Linked DNA regions of Caenorhabditis elegans. The protein of the gene in region 2 purifies or fractionates together with the protein of the main gene of each other region. This does not show direct contact. Each region holds a gene or a part of one and is shown on either strand. Other genes may lie near its edges.

The links. Proteins that work in one complex are often made in the same cells at the same time.
Region 1: the proteins of sec-6 (region 2) and asp-4 fractionate together in Caenorhabditis elegans (co-fractionation; one large-scale study listed by BioGRID). This does not show direct contact.
Region 3: the proteins of sec-6 (region 2) and sec-3 fractionate together in Caenorhabditis elegans (co-fractionation; one large-scale study listed by BioGRID). This does not show direct contact.

Annotation. Positions count from the first base shown.
Region 1 is NC_003284.9:13,218,447-13,223,230, forward strand, and holds asp-4 (Aspartic protease 4), read right to left. Parts: upstream 3,017-4,784; 5' UTR 2,982-3,016; coding exon 2,896-2,981; intron 2,315-2,895; coding exon 2,128-2,314; intron 2,082-2,127; coding exon 1,958-2,081; intron 1,831-1,957; coding exon 1,588-1,830; intron 1,377-1,587; coding exon 833-1,376; intron 780-832; coding exon 629-779; 3' UTR 539-628; downstream 1-538. Other genes in the region: R12H7.4 (G_PROTEIN_RECEP_F2_4 domain-containing protein), read left to right, coding at 1-33, 80-331, 381-485; skr-20 (Skp1-related protein), read right to left, coding at 4,570-4,784. UniProt on the Caenorhabditis elegans protein: Aspartic protease, which is part of the necrosis cell death pathway. Involved in neuronal cell degeneration. Involved in heat stress response.
Region 2 is NC_003280.10:5,357,798-5,362,584, reverse strand, and holds the start of sec-6 (Exocyst complex component 3), read right to left. Parts: upstream 3,034-4,787; 5' UTR 3,025-3,033; coding exon 2,914-3,024; intron 2,857-2,913; coding exon 2,744-2,856; intron 2,697-2,743; coding exon 2,402-2,696; intron 2,349-2,401; coding exon 2,253-2,348; intron 1,906-2,252; coding exon 1,838-1,905; intron 1,515-1,837; coding exon 1,208-1,514; intron 1,157-1,207; coding exon 911-1,156; intron 370-910; coding exon 277-369; intron 1-276. Other genes in the region: bmy-1 (Boca/MESD chaperone for YWTD beta-propeller-EGF), read right to left, coding at 3,237-3,578, 3,630-3,756, 3,799-3,890; F09E5.11 (Transmembrane protein 199), read left to right, coding at 4,404-4,556, 4,602-4,787. UniProt on the Caenorhabditis elegans protein: Component of the exocyst complex involved in the docking of exocytic vesicles with fusion sites on the plasma membrane.
Region 3 is NC_003284.9:3,094,890-3,101,770, reverse strand, and holds sec-3 (Exocyst complex component 1), read left to right. Parts: upstream 1-1,918; 5' UTR 1,919-1,933; coding exon 1,934-2,063; intron 2,064-2,109; coding exon 2,110-2,237; intron 2,238-2,664; coding exon 2,665-2,763; intron 2,764-2,814; coding exon 2,815-3,192; intron 3,193-3,241; coding exon 3,242-3,414; intron 3,415-3,461; coding exon 3,462-3,633; intron 3,634-3,707; exon of another isoform or gene 3,708-3,843; intron 3,844-3,942; coding exon 3,943-4,189; intron 4,190-4,235; coding exon 4,236-4,590; intron 4,591-4,639; coding exon 4,640-4,766; intron 4,767-4,814; coding exon 4,815-5,076; intron 5,077-5,124; coding exon 5,125-5,249; intron 5,250-5,700; coding exon 5,701-5,799; intron 5,800-5,848; coding exon 5,849-6,100; 3' UTR 6,101-6,343; downstream 6,344-6,881. Other genes in the region: ztf-13 (C2H2-type domain-containing protein), read left to right, coding at 1-31, 96-320, 372-526, 573-690, 1,162-1,290.

The DNA of each region.
Region 1 (4,784 bases), on a different chromosome or scaffold from region 2:
CTTTTTGTTTGCCACACATATGGACATTTGAATGTAAGCAACTGATTTTTCATGCACAGTCTGTTTTTTTGCTTTTCAGACCTGTCAGAAGTGGGCTGGTTCGGGGTGTTTTGCTAGTTTATACGCTATGTGTCCACCGAAACCTTCAACATATGAAAAAGATAAAGATGATGAAGAAGATGAGAAGATTGAAAATCCTCAGGAAAAAACACCTCTAGAAAATGAAGATGAAAATCCAGAAAAGCAACCTGGAGCTGGCGACTCGAAAGAGCCAGATGAGACATCAGGAAATAGTAGTCCGAAAAAATCAACACAAAGAGGAAAAGGACTGGTGAGTGTTGCTATCAATTTTGATGTGTCTACTATATTTATTTTTCTAGGACCCCACAAAGCACACAGAGTCTCAAAAATTCTACTCATGGCTCACCGATTCGAGCAATAGCGGAAACAGTGGAGACATTTTGTTTCGTCCATCTGTTGCTTAGTGGCGCTAAATGATCGCATTTTTCGATTATGTGCCTTCAATTGTGTTGATAGAAAAATATTTATTAAACATAAAGTGTTTTATAAAGCCAATGAATTAAAAATATTTTAAAAACCTGGATTTGTGAGAAAAATAACGTGTTGATTATTCGTCGTCTTGTTCCATGGATTCCTCACTTTCGTTGTCGAAGACAGAACGGAATGGTCGTGGAGCTGGATCAACTGGACGGCCATCGGCGGTCTTAGCTTGAGCAAATCCGACACGGTTCTGATCAAAATCGAAGACGGAATAGTACCTGATTTTTCATTGGGTTCGTCAATGTTTAATTTGAGAAAAGATATGGCTCACCTTCCAATGAAGACATCTCCAAGAATCCAGAGCTCTCCAACGCGTTCTGGGAGATCGATTCCCATAAATCCAGACAAGCAAATAGTCTTTCCACCCTGTGAAACCTTAAGGACATAGTCTTCTCCCTTAAGACTGAACTCTTGTCCTCCGATCACAAAAGAGACTGGTGGAAGTGTTGGAACCTTGTCGCAGCTGATCATGTACTCTCCCTTGATGAGAGGCTCAGCTCCAATGAAATTTTGGATGGCTTCGATTTGAGCCTTTGGTCCGGCTATGAGAGAAGTACCGGTATCAGCAATTGCTTGGCATCCATTGGAGCATCCAAGAACTCCAGATCCAACAACCTTGTCCATCTTGAATTGCCAGTATCCCTTTCTGGTGACTGGAACATAGGTGATTGGCTCAACATATCTTCTTGAGTCAATTCCTCCAAAAGTGATTTCTCCTCCAATTTCAGAGTCTGGGTTACGGTTGAGCCAAAATGAGAAAAGATTCGATGGGACCTTCTTCTGTTCGAAAAGAGTGTTGAACACTGGTTGAACTCCTGCAATAGAGTATTACAGAAGTGAGAAAACCTAGTAAGTGCTCAGAAAATAAAAGTCATTTTCTGTAATTATTGTACCTTTGATGGCATACAGGATGCAACTTATTATTACTTCACACCAAAATGTTCAATGCACAGCTTTTATAACTAAAACAAAATGCTGAACCCTTCCGATTATCCGGGTGTATCCCAGTCTACTTCAAACTCTTACCGAGAACCGCAATTTCAGGGTAAGCCATTCCGAGGATTCCGTCGAATTTGGCAGCGACAAAGGTGATTCCTGGTTCACTGGTTGCTTCAGCAAATGGCTGATCCTCAGCGCACACTCCTGCGACGCAAACGCTATCCTTTGAAATGAATCCCTTCATGGATCCAGTTCCATATTGAATTGCCATCTTTCTACCATCCTCCTTGTATGTTGACGAGCTCTTTGAGTCGTAACGGTGATGAAGCACTGAAATGAAAAAGTGTTTTATTTGTTTGTCCAAACCATAAAACTGTCAAAAACAAACACGTTTCGGTCAGCATCAGTTCACAAGAAAAAGCATGATATCAGTTTGATTTGGTGATGAAATACTTACTGCATGCAATGTCGTAGAATGGACACTTTTTCGATGGAATCCACAAATTGGAAGACCCAGTATCAAAGATGACTGTGAAGTTTTGAGCTGGAGTTCCGATTGAGATGGTTCCAAAGTATTGAGCCTAAAACTTTGATTAGTTATATGTTTTTTGTTGTTTCAATTCTCACATCCATATAGTTTCTGAGAAGCTCATCAATCTCTCCTTCAACATTCAAAGCTTGGTACTTGTCGAAATGATGATTTCCATTGGTTTTCAAGTACTTCTTATATCCATGACGATGCTTGGCAAAGGTTTCGAATGAACCGGCTTGAAGAAGAGTCTCGCGAAGAGTCGGCTGCTTCTTCAGGGAAACGCTGCAAGCAGAATAAGAACTGAGCAACTGCTGAGTGGGTCACTTGTTTTTGTTCTTGTTGTTCGGATTTTTGAGCAGTGTTGATCAACTCGAATGGGATAAGCAGGAGGGTCTTGTGACCCATCGAGAGAAAAAGTGGCATGATGTGCCTTCTCGAAATCTTAGATTTGTGAGACAAAATAGAAAGAAAAAGTGTTATGATCAAAGTAGAAAGAAGTGTTCCCAACAAAACCCAATGAATTTAAATAATCCTTTCACAGTTAGAAAAATTTTATTAGGTTTTTTTTTTAATGTCAAAATCAGATTTGAAACTACAATAAAAAACAATGGACAACTTTCAGTTCTTTATAGTATCCTGTCTAAATGAGATTCTGACGGGATTATATAATATTGAAACAGATAACAAGGTTACTCATTACCGAGGATTCAAGTATCAATCAATCTTGCACATTATCACACCTATTCAGTTATGTCATAAGTAGGTGTTTGCGTGGCACCTAATATTAAGAAACATGACCAACATTTTCACTATATCGATGATCAAAATGAGGTGTCAACAAACCTCCAACGACCTCTACTTACGTTCTCAATTTCTGTTGCCTCTTGTGAACATGAAGACCTTGAACGAGAAGAAGTGCTCCGAGGAGCAAAAGAATACAGCGGTTCATCCTGACGATGAAACTAACTGAATGCCTCTTCCGATCTCAATTGTGCCTTTTCTTATCTCCCCTTTCTCTTCATGATGACTCCGCCTTGTTTCTTTGCCGGCACAACAGCAGCTGCAAGGTCAACTGTCTCGTTGTTATTCCTCCAGCTGTCATGCATAATTATCGGAAAGTAAATTCTAAACATTCAAAAAATGGCCTGACCGTTGTCAACGTGTCCGTCTGTACCGGTGAGATGACAAGTTTGAATGATAAGGGAATTGTGAAACTTTGTTCTGTTTCGATTTAGGGGAGAGAAAATGGGATAATTTCAAAACTCGGCCAAATCAAGATCCTATCTAATTTTGTCTTCAAGGTTGTTGTAGACAGTAATTGGGACTTTTGACGGAGTTTGAAAGACAGTTAGTCAATCACGCAATGGACTATGAAAAAAATTGCATGGCCACTTTTGAAATAAAACCAAAACGTTTGGAAGACCAAGCAATTTTAATGTTAAACTGTTAAACATAGAAGACACAAAAGCTCTGTAAATTGAGGTTTTTTTGTGGATGGAAAATAGCGTGGATGCTGCCCGTTTTTTCCGTCTGATTTGTGAACAACAGTGTTTGAATGCTAAGGATAATATTGATTTAGGTTCATTCATCTTAAAACAACTATGATTGGGTTATAGCTTTACAAAACAGATTCTACAATTGTTCAAGGGCTCCTATATCAAGTAGTTGCTTAAATTAAGCCTATAAAATATACAAGTTGCGTGGAAAACTTACAGGAGATTTAAAAATTGTTTTTGAAAAACTATATACAATTTTCGTATAACATTGTTGACATTTTTGTTCAATGTTCAATTTTCAGTTTTCATTAAAATTGTTGATGAAATTATCATGTCCTAATGCAATGTCCTAATGCATACATAAAAAATTTTAGATGAAATGGATTAGCATGAAAAAAGCTATACAATAAAAACTATTATTGGAAACAACCGGCACTGGATATATGAATATTATGTATCTTTTAATCACAACTCTCGAAAAAGTTATCCCCCCAAAGTCTGAAGAATTGAGCATAGTGAAACTTTACTTAACTAACAAAATTGAAAAATAATATTCCACAAAAAAGGGCAAATTAAGGCAGATGAAAAAAAAAACTTTAAAAAAAAGCACACTATTAAATTTTCCAGATTTAGTAATCAGAACGCTGCATTCAATTCCGTCATGAAGTTTATAAACGTTTAGTTCTTTTAAAACCTAGTATTTTGCAATAAACACCAGAAATGTACAAGTTCGGCCAAATTGGATGCAAAATCAGAAAAAATCGGAAATAAAAATCCGGTAATTTGGGGGCTCACCTCATATTCTGAAACAACGAGAACTTGATTTACATATGGTTCTTTGATATTTAATTTTAAGCAATTTTTTAATTAGTAGTGACACTTTAGTTGTTTGTTTTGTTTTCCAACTATTCTTTTACATTCTTATAACTTCAATTTTTCATTTATGAGGTTTGTAAAATAATTTATTCACAAATAAACTTGAATCAAAGTGTATAAATATATTCTTTCAAACATCTTCTTCACAATATGTGAAATTAAACATCAATCAGAATCCGTTGTGAATGTCATTGCAGATGTTCCCTCTCCACCATTTGCCAACGCTTCCTCCATTTGTTCTTCATCTGACCTGATTCCATAGATCTTGCGAATTTCTTCCGTGCTTTTTCCTCGAATCAATTCTGCTGCGGCTGCACACCCCATATTCATCAAATCTTCGACTCCAAGCGCATGAGAAGCATTGAGTAGTGCAAAAAGAA
Region 2 (4,787 bases):
TACAACGCTCACATTTGTCTTTTTTTTCGTCTTTCGTGGTGAATTTCGACAAGAGGTGGTGATGATGGTGACGTGAAGCGAACTACGACGCGGAATTACAAATTTTGCGAAATTAGAAAAAAAACCAACTCGGAGAGGGTATGCAAAAGCTGCTAATAATATGTGTGCGTTCTTTTCTCGGGCTTTTTAAATTCCTCGGCATTTTTTTTTGGATTTGAAAGGAAATTTCTTAGTTTCTACTAGCGGAAATTACAAATATTTTGAAAAAAAACTTACCGTGTCCTTGAGCATTCCAAAAACAGTATTTGGCAGATCAGTGTAGAAATATCCATGATTGTCCTCGCTTGGCCGCAAGTTTTTGTACCAATCCTGGAATAAATAATTTTGTAGAAAATTTACTTTTATTACTTTGTACGAAAAATTATATTTTGAATTATAGATTTTATTTTTGAATTCCCGCGCAAATTAATTACCTAGTTTCGACATTTTCGCGTTTTCTAGCTAAATTCATCGAACTTTCTTGACATTTTCATAGATATTTGATTTGCAACATTTTTTGTCAGATTTTCAGACATTTTTCAACAAAGAAAAATTATAAAATTTTTTAATTTTTAATTTCTGAGCCAATTTTAAGTTTTAGTAATTTTCTTACGAGAAATCAAGTTTTCTCTTCGGAAAAATGTCTGAAATTTTTTTTTTGACATTTCGAATCAAATATTAACGAAAAAATCAATGAAAACTGAACATTTCAACAGAAAAAACAAAATGTCGAAACTAAATAGATTTTTTTTTAATTAAAAATTTTAAAGTTTTTTTTTGACTATTACGGTTTTTTTCTATCATTCAGTCTTTTTTTTGTTGATGATTTGAAAATTTCAAGACAGAATTAAAAAAAAAAAATAAAACTTACATGAGTCTCATGAGAAACAGTATTTTTCAGCCATAATTTCAGATCATCTCTCGACATTTCAACAAATTGATCACAAAGTTGATTCAGAGTGCTTCTCGACAGAACAGGACTATCTTGTAATATAGCCTGTGCATTGATCCTCAGTTTCGGATGTCCTAGCATATCTTCAGATGCGTAAAATTTGATCCATGACATCAACTGAACCAGCTCGCTTTTTTCCAAATGTTCCGATGCCACTTCTCGGAGCTAAAAGCAAGGAAATGAGGAAACAATCGATTTTTTCAGTCAAATACTCACTCTTCTACACACAGATGTGTGATACATGTGAACATATCGATCGTAAATCTGCCAATCCGGTGGGAAACACGGAATCGCCACTTTTGCCAATTGTAAATCATCCATAATTACATTTTTACAAACTTCTAAATATCTAGCAAGCCACGCTTTGTTCAGAGATCGATCTTCGAGTTGATTTCCATCTACTCGATTTGAGACAGTCTTCTCAAGTGATCGTAAGGCTTTTTCTTTCCAGTTACGAGGTCGGCCTGGTGGAACAAATGCCGATGAGTTCTTGCTTCGAGCTTCCATGTAGAATTTATCGATTCTTAAATAAATATAACTTTGTTATCACATCCAGGGCTGTCGGTTTTTTGGGAAAAAAAAATATTTTTTGGGACCAAAAAAAACCGAAAAATTACAACACTGATTCAGCAAAACACAAAAAGAAAACAAAAATCCTTCCGTTCGTTCAGGTTCTAACATTTTTGAAAATTTCTCGTTGTGTCCCGTTTAAAATCAAAAGTAGTTTTTTTTTCTTCATAAATTCGATTTTTTGTCTTTTGGTCCAAATTTAAAATAAAATTTTCTTGTTTTGGTAGAATATCTTTTTGCAATAGCCCTGATCACGACAACTCATGAAATTATTACCTTTCTTCTCGTTCCACAATTCGAAGACATGTCACAACTTGTTGCGGTCCGCCACCTTGCTCATTTCCCTGAAAAATAATAGTTCAGGCAGGTTTCCAGGACGAAAATGAATTTTTAAAATGTTTATCCAACTTTAGAATTTTGAATTATTCTGAAATTCACTTTCCTGCAAAATGTCGTAAAACCAGATGTTTTCTCAGAGATTCAAATCTACAGTGACCGCTCGCAATTGTTTTAACTTTATTACAAGGTTTTGGAGGACAAAAAAATTCTTTTTTTTTTTAATTTTTCGGATCAAAATAACAAAAAAAATTCGCTGAAATCGGCGAGAAAATTCGATAATTCTTTTTTTTTTAACTTTTTTATTCAGTTGATATTTAAACCATATCAATATATATTCGAATAAAAAAATTACCTTAACCATTTCCAAAGTTCGACCGAGAATAAACCACATATTCTTCGACAATTCGGCGACAACCGAGTCAACTCCCTTGAAGAAATTGACGAGAAGCTGAAAAATAATATTATAAATATTTGGAAAATACAAAAAAAAAAACAAATAACCATTTGCTCTTTTTCCGTATTTGTTCCACTCATTTTATGAACTTCGGCCAGCAATTCGTCTCGAGCTCTTTCCAAATCCATAATATGTTTGTGAGCTAACAACAGATTTCCTCCAGACTTTTCATCATCCAGCGCATCACGAATTTCTTGAAGTGTTGTTTGTAGATTGAAAATATGCTTCAAATTCTCCATTGCAGCTGCATATTGACCGTGACGAGCATTGGCATCACGAAGTTCTCGAAGTTTCTCTTTCAGTTGGGGAAATGGTCCGAGACGCTCTCGAATATCGTGAACTCTGAAAATCAAAAAAATGTTTCGTTAAAGTGAATTTAAAATAAATACCCTTGAGAAATAGCGGTAATATCATCTGAAGCGGTTTGAAGATGAGCAATTGCAGTTCGAATTCCTTCTAATTGACCTTGAACACCAGTTCGGAGCATAGCCTCGACAGCGAGCTGAAATTTTTTAATTTTTCACACTTCAATAAACTTGGAAGAATTTATTAGTTTTACCTTCTTTCTATCAGCTCTCTTTTTGAGTTCCGGCAATTTTTCCAGTTGATCAGGACGTTGTAGTAGAGCTGCTACTTGCTCCAATGCCGCCTCTTCCACATCAACGTCCATTCTAAAATACTTTAAAAAACGCATTCAATTTTAAATAAAAAATATCAAAACAGTTGGAAACTGTCTGAAAATCTATAGAAATTAATGAATTAGAAAATATAATTTATGAGTGAAATATTATGTAAAAAGTAAGTGAAATGCAAAAAGGCACATGAGAAATTGGGGAACCTCGTAAATAAATATTTGATACAAATGACTAGGATATGTGAATATTATAGCTCTTTCTTGCCAGTTTTGAATTTCTTCGCAGGTCCGTCAAAGCTCTGTCCTTCGATCGTCACTTCGGAAACGAATTCTTGTTTCAAAAGGAATTTCTTTGCTTCGAATGCTTGTTCTCCGTTTTTGAACATGAAGATGGCCCTATTATCGTCAATCACAAAAACTTGCAGATCCACGTGATTATTGTAGAGTTGAGATTGCCATATTTGCGTCCATTTTTCCGTGAACGGGCGAATATCCGAGCGATCTGGTTGCGATGGATCAACAACTCCGACGAAGAGCATCAATGTTTGGCCTTTCTTTGACATCATAAGAAGATCCTCCGGGTCTTTGGCCTGTAATAAATTATTTTATGAAATTTTTTACACAAAAAAAATTCGCCTCACTTTTGCCTTCATACTTTCCAGATCCAATTGTGGCGGTTTTCTTTTGTGTTCTGGCTTCTCATCTTCTTCTAGTTCGTCCTCGTCGTTTTCCTCCCACTCTTCATACAGCTTTTCCAGCTCCGCATCTCTGTAATTAAAAATGAGGCTTTAAAATTGCATATAACCTCACGTGTAACTGGATAGATCCTTCTTTTTTTGTTTAACATTGGCAAGTCCGATATGAGCAGCTAACAGGAAAATGAATACCGTCCTCCACTTCATCTGAAATTATTGTAATAATTAATAAAAGTTGGATATATTATTAGAAAATAAAAGCAAATATTTCGAGTTTAGACAGTGAAGTTGAGTGAAAAGGACCTCGGTAGGAAAGGAGAGCATTGCGAAACATTATTCACACGCTGGGTGGTCCAAAAGGGTGTTCTGCGTCATAAAAGGAAGTCGTGACATCACCCTTGAGGCTGCCCTTCGCGTTTTTCTGCAGATTTCAGAGCAAAAATTGCAAAAAGTTTTTTGGCAGAGCCCTGCTGGCCTAGAAATCGCACCGCTCCCGGCCACTGCAATGGTGCGGCACGGTTATTGGCAACGTGCGCACAGCTTTCATGTAGATTTACGGCGACCAAAAATTAAAATATTCCATTCGATATCATTCGGGAAAAATCTGAATATTGCAACCCCGAAATATATTTCCATACTTTTCAATATATTGCCATATTTTTTGCTTGCGTTATCATTGTTTTCTGCGACAATTTATAAAACATCATTTTTCAGAACCAAATGGCGCAGTGGAACGTGTCACAAGAAGATAAAAATCTCCTACGCGATTTGGTTGCTGGTTCTAAAGAGAAAATAACTCCTGAAGTATCGAAATCATGTAAAGAATTCTACAAAAAAGATGTCGTGAGCTATAAAGATTTGGTGAATATAAAAGTAAGTTTTATTTAAAAATCAACAATTTTATATTGTTCGTTTAAGACGAAACTACCTGACGGTATTCCTGTTTTCGTATTCTTCGATCGGTTAACACTTCGTCGCGAAGATCATACATATCATGCTTCCGTAGAATTTCGTAAGAAAACTGAAGAATTGAGAATTCAGCAAGAACAAGATTCTTACAAGAGACTCATCAGAGATGTGGATCCAGTACAGAAATACGGAAAG
Region 3 (6,881 bases), on a different chromosome or scaffold from region 2:
GCTGACTCACGGGTGTGGAGAGATGCCGGTGGTGAGAGAAAAAAAAAGAAAAAAAACGTACACATTGGTCGCTTAAAATACATTTTTTTTTGCAGTGTGAGTCAATGCAAAATGCTCGAATACCATCTGGCCCGTTTCTGATGCAAGCCATCACACGCCGTTCCAGTGATTTTGTAAAGGAATTCTTGTTCACCAGAGACAAACAAACAGTGATGACAACCGCATATTACACGTACGCAAAGTGTGAACTGCAGGCAGTTATGTCGGGTAGCATTGGCTTAGTGGTTTACAATCAGGCTAAAAGCGACTTATTGGCAACGGTTAGATAGAGTTCTAAATTTGCAGTTTTTAAAGCAGAACTATTTTTTCAGCTGGAGTCTGCAGATCACGATGATTTTGTGTCGAGCATGAAAAATACATTTATTTACGGGAAATTCATAAAACGTTCGCCTTCGGAAAGCTACGTCCCCTCGGCGACCGTTTTTAAGACACTGACTTTCAGCACAATGCCGCCCCAAGTCAAATTGTAAGAACTACCAAATTTAGGTTTTTAACAATATTTTTCGTTTTAGCAAAAAATCGTCTCGACCGGTTCCACCTGGAAAAAGTCTTGGAGAAGTCGTCTCTAAAATGGCGGCAAGTCAGCCGCAGTACACTGTGCGATCTGCTCCGTACTCAAAGGGTCGAGCGGTAAGATTTTGATAAATGCATTAAGTTACTTGTCATGTCAGAAGGTACTACTACATATTGTATTATCACTATTAGACTTGCTCACCGATTGCTTCACGCTGACAGCTAATATCTCGATTTTCTTTAATTTTATCAAAACATTTTAACTGCGTAATTACGTAAAATAATTTTCAACATATTGACATTGTACTATTTTTGGTACAATTTAAGACAACCGAGATATAAGCTAGCAGGTCTAATAGGACAAGTTTCAGTAGTTACCAAGATTTAAAATACTTCCAAATTCGGATTGTCCAGCATATTTTGTGTGTTTTTTCTTTAGAATACAATAATTACTAATGGGGCTAATCAAGTAATGTCGCGAAATGTAACAAAATGTATTGAAATATACATATGTCCACATTTGTTTTATAAAAAAAAATTTAAAGGGGCGATAATACAATTTACTGTAAAAACTAATAAATAAATCAGATCATCAAAATCCCGACTTCAATTCGTAACCGCAACTACACACTTCCACCTGCAGGCCCACTTCCGCTGCGTCGCACTTTGATTACTACCAACTACACCATGTATCCAGTCAGAAACGCTGTTCAGTGATAATCTCATTTTGAAACTTACCCCCGATTTAATATAGCTACATGTCATTAATCATTTTCTTTTGTCTCACTTAAGTTTTCTGTTACTTTTTTTCTACTTTTAACTTATGCCTCAAGTCACTTCCAAATCAAAACCACGACCTTTTCAAACTCTCTGTTGTTTTTTTTCTGATCCGTGTAATATTATTTATTGTTTCTTTCTTTTTTACTTTTGCAGATTCTCCTAATTGAAAACTTTCAATTGTCATTTTTTTACGGTCCGTTTTAGGAATCGTGTTCTATTTAAATAATTGCCAAAAATAAATCTTTTCAGGTCAATCAATTCGTTTCAATTCTATTACTATATCTTTTGCAAGTGTAAAAATAAAACCAAATAAAATTATTTTTGCTTCCCTGCATTGCAATATAAATAGTGGTGTTCATCGAGAAACGCGCACGCTAACCGGCCACTGGCGTGTTTTTCGTGTACTAGTCACCACAGAAAACTGCAGAGACGCAGAATAACTCCGTATGTTTTTACTGGGCATAACTGTTTCCAATTCCCTGATTTTATTGTTTTCTTTTTTAATGCTTGGTTTAAGTTTAAAATTTTTATTATTCTACTTAATCAATGTGATTATATAAATTTTCAATTTCAGATTTGAATGTCTGCAATCAGGAAGATAATCCAGCGGCAACTTTTCCAGAAAGACGATGAAAGAATTCAAGCAATAGTCAATGTCTCAAAGTTGGATGGAAAAAAGAAGAAAAACCAGACACTACTATGTTTAGCAGGTAAGAATTCTTGGAATTGTCCTGTATAAAAATCGATAACTTGCAGTCACAATCGAGCACCCCATCGCCGTCCGTTTATACTTTGTGAAAGGGGAGAAAGATGATACATTCAAAAAGAAGGACAGGTTCAATTTGAGAGAAGTCAGAGAAATCGACGGAATAAATCCGAAAAAAGTGAGTATTTGAAAATTATATGGATTCACGCAATTTATACGATATATGTAGTGAGCAAATGTGAGCGTAACGAAGAACATAACGCAAAAAATGTGAAGCTTCTCGAATAACTGAGGATTTTCAAGTTTTACGAACACTAATGTTTGATGGAGTTTATCAACCTAAAATAGCTAAAAATTCGCCATTTTGCCGCAACTTTTCAACGATCTTTATCAATTGTAAAAATTGCAATTAGCTAAAGTTAGGTGAGAAGTTGTTGAAAGAATAGTTATTGTACACTAAATTTGTCGAAAAGATGATGCAAATTGCAGGAATTATTTTGACAAAATGGCTTATCAATTAGTTAAATTCGCATTTACTTCAAGTTTTTTTGGGTTTAAAAAAAATTGAGAATTTTATTCAACTGACAAACATTAAAAAAATTCAGGCATCACCAGAGTTCCACATCACTATCGGTGATCATCAATATGTGATTTTGGCTGGTTCCGCTGAGGAAAAGGACGAGTTCATTCGAGAACTCTACAAGGTATCCAACTATAATACTTTCAACTTTTTTACTGAAAATTTCGTATTTTAGTTGTCATGCCAATACCTTCCAGTCCAGATGCCAGATTTCTGCAATTTCTCTCTACCGCAACTTGAATCAGAAACCTCCATTATACCCATTGAGCTTCCTGAGCATGATATGGCGATGCAAAGTGATTATCAGCCAATATCCAACAAGGAGGACGCAGACTTTCGAAAGTTGATTGCGCGAGCTAATTTGACTATTGGTGAAGCACATATTTTTGCCGAAATGCTGACGGAGCAATTGCAATCTCTCGATGGAGCCAACATCAACTCTATGATGGACAGTGAGAATTCCGTAAACCAGTTGCTTTCGAGTATTGATGCAGCATTGACCGGTGTTGAGTCGGTCGAAAAAGAGCTTGATCGTTGTGATGACATTTTGGCGGTACTACATTGTAAAGGAATTTATTGAAATTTTAATCAACTATTTTCAGTTTGTGAGGAACAGTATCGAATTGATCGAAGAGAAAGATAGTTTATCGGTGGTTGAAAGAAAGAACAAGCAACGTCTCAACGAGGAAATCGTTTCATTTGTCAATTCGTTGCAGGCTGTTACTGATTCCCACATTGAGACTCTGAAACAAGCTAACTTCAGTAACCCAGAAAGGTAGAGTGAACAACTTAGAGTTTTCAAGTAATATTATGATACTTCAGTGTTCAAAGATGCACGGACGCTGCACGCGCTGTTGCACAATTCTGGCACGGGAGGATTTCTAAGCCAATGCTTCAAATGAAAGCCTATCAGGACAGAAATGATGAGCTTACCGCAGTGGATGTCTTTGTCGATAGGCTCATGTCTCACCTCTCTGCACTGTTCTCGAATTTGGTAAGTTTCAATGAACGTGTGCTTGCTTGCTCGAGGACCCCCTAAATTGTAGAAGTATTAGAGAATTCCGGAGGTCACGCTCTCGCTAAAGGACCCTCTGAATTTTTTGAAAATTTCAACCAAAATTCTCGAATTTCAGATATTTTACAGCGCATGCGAAGCTTTTTTTACATCACATACCATAATTTCACAATAGATTCACGTTAAAATGTGGAGTTTTTTCAATACATCTATTATAAATTTTAGAAGAATCCTGTAGCAAGCGCGCGCACTGTATAAAATCATTTTCAACGCGTGTTTTTTTTTCAGAACGACTTATCTTTGGATCATGAGTGGCATGAACTGTGTATTCCAAAACAGTCTCAACGCTTTCGCGCCCTTTCTCCACTCTCTGATCTTATCAACTGGCTGAAAACGAACCGTCCAAAGGCTTGCAATTTAGTCTTGCAAAAGTATATCGACAGCACGAATCTACTTTACAAACGTCTATTTGACAATTTCTTTGAGACACTGATCAACAAAGTTCCAAAAGCTAACAGTTCTGAAAAGAAGTCAAGTATGTTTGCTAATATTTGCAGCAAAAAATAATCATCTGATTTCAGAAGCAAATGAATCTGCAAACATTTCACTTCGTTCTGACAACCAGAGTTTCCTGAGCACCTCCAGTGAAATTGATACTGAAGTCTTACCGCAACTCATCGAAACGGTGCTGGCAGAACTGAGCGCTGTGATTGACGCAGAGCAAAAGTTCGTTGTCCGCTTCTTCCACATCAACTCGGAGCTGTTGGCTCAGTTCGATACGACTTCAACTGGAAGCGGTGATAGCTCAAGTCTCGGAGGACGTAGTATGGAGAAACATATGAACGAGCAAGTGAGACACGTTATGGGCAACTTGTTTGACTCGCTCAATATTCATCTTGATAGTTTCTGTCGGGCGGTTTGTAGGCACAATCCTAGGTGAGAAAAGGTACACGTACATATTATTTTAAATTCCTACACATTTTAGCAATGTTCTCCTTTTGTTTGTAATCATGTCGAAGAAAGTGCTTCTACCACAAGACCCAAGCTCCTATTTTTCGATCACATTTGGAAGTTTAGTTGTTCTGATAAAACGCCAGTTTGATGCATTTATTGTGAGTTCCATTTATATGTACTGTAATTGCAATAATCTTCTCTTCCAGCAAATGGAATGTTCCCAGTACTCGGAAGTTCGCATTGCTAAAAAGACTAGAATCGGAATTCTCCCATCAATTTTTCGCTTTGCAAACTTTGTGAGACGTGCTGAAATTATCTTTGAAAATGCCGAGAGAAGAACTGACTTGGAGAAGGCATATTTCAATCTTTGCCGGGCGGTTTGTGACGGGATACAAAAAGCTGCCGCCAATCAATACAGCAAGTCTCCGTCGTCTGTAGTCAAGTTTGAAAATTACCACGAGCTCTATTGTAAGTGTTCTAGGAAACAATAAAGTGTGATGGTGATAAATGTTTCAGTGACTTTGTCGGAGCTAAAAATCTCATGTTTGGATCAACAACGAAAAGATGCGAAAGCGCTCAAGGAAGAACATATTGATGCGTACGTAAAAGAGTTTATGGGTCGTCCACTCAAAGAGATTCAGGTGATATATAAATATGGAAATTTATGTTTCAATACTGTGCTGCCAATGCTTGAAAAAAAACTTGACTATTATGCTTTAAACTAGTTTTTTCTTTCTAATTTTGGCTTGTCATTCTACAACATTTGTAAAAAAAGGCACTCTACCATAGTTTAAAGTTGGAGTACCAAAATTTGAGGCTTTGCTATTTTAGACCCAACAATTCAGCGCATATACGCCCAATAAAAGACCAACAAATTTATTAAAGAGTGATCAATAAATAAAAATTAAGTTCCAGACGCTGCGACACCGAGAAGTTGTAAAAATTGTGATTTTAGCTGCAAAACCTTTTTTCCGACTTTGAACCTCCATAACTTTTTTTGAGGAATTTTCAAAACATCTCATTCGAATTTCGGTACTCCACCTTTAAACAAAAATCTCCCAAAACTATCGATATGTATTCCAAAAATTTCAGACGTTCTTCGACAATGTCAACAACTTTATCGAAACGCGTGGAATTCGTCCTGATGAAATCTCGTATCAACAACAATTCAGTCGCATTGAGCTTAAAAAGGTTGAATTTCTAGTTAATCATCAAAATCGCCATTTCATAAATTTTCCAGGTAATTTCACAACATCCGGGAAAAGAAGTGAAAAAAGGACTCGAGCAACTGTACAAGAAAATTGAGAAGAACCTGGTTGCCAATTCATCACTTTTGCAAGTTGTATGGAGAGATATGCAAGAGCAATTTGTCAAGCAAATTGCGGAATACAACAAACTGATTCTCACTTGTTACCCAGGCTCGAAGATTGAGCTCGAAGTTTCCACTGACACTGTACTTCAGTTCTTCTCAGAAATTGCTCAACAACACTAATATTACGACGAATAATTTTATTGAATTTTGTTGTTTTAATTCATTTAAAATTTAGTTTTAATTTATCAGAACTCTAATACTTACTGAACCATGCTTTGTAATATATTTATTTATCTATTCTGTAATAGGTGAACTTCGTTACATTACTGATGTCTGTAATATAAATTTACGGGTGTTCCCCATTCGAAAATAGTAGTAATGCTTGCTTTTTTGAAAAATAAATGTCTTGCTTGGTGACTTTTATTTCACGTATTTTCAAATGCTCACAAAAATTTCACGGAACTGACTTCTTGGTTACACATTTGTAGAAATTTTGACTGAATGTTTGCATTGAACTGGTCAACTTAAGAATCTGACATGCAAATGGTGTGTTTTCTGAAGAACACACTTTGGCAACTTTTAATAAAAAAGGGGTGTAACACGATTTAAATCTAATAAAAACAACTTCTATAATGTTATTCCGTTTATATCTCACTTTATGTTTTACATTTTACTCTTATATACATTTTTTGACTCATTTATACAGGGTGGTCCATAATTATGGACCACCCTGTACTTATATCTTATTTAAAACTATTTCATGTAAGAATTGTTTTAACAGCGCATTTTTTTTCATCACTCGATTTAAAGGTAAAATTGATAGGCCGCAATCTATTTTGGAAAACTTCAGAACAAAATTTAACATTTTAAGAGGTAACTGTGAAGGTTTATAAGAGAATTATAAACCGATCTAACCACTAAACATGGTAACGTAGAAAAAGTAAAATTAGGGGAGGGGGGA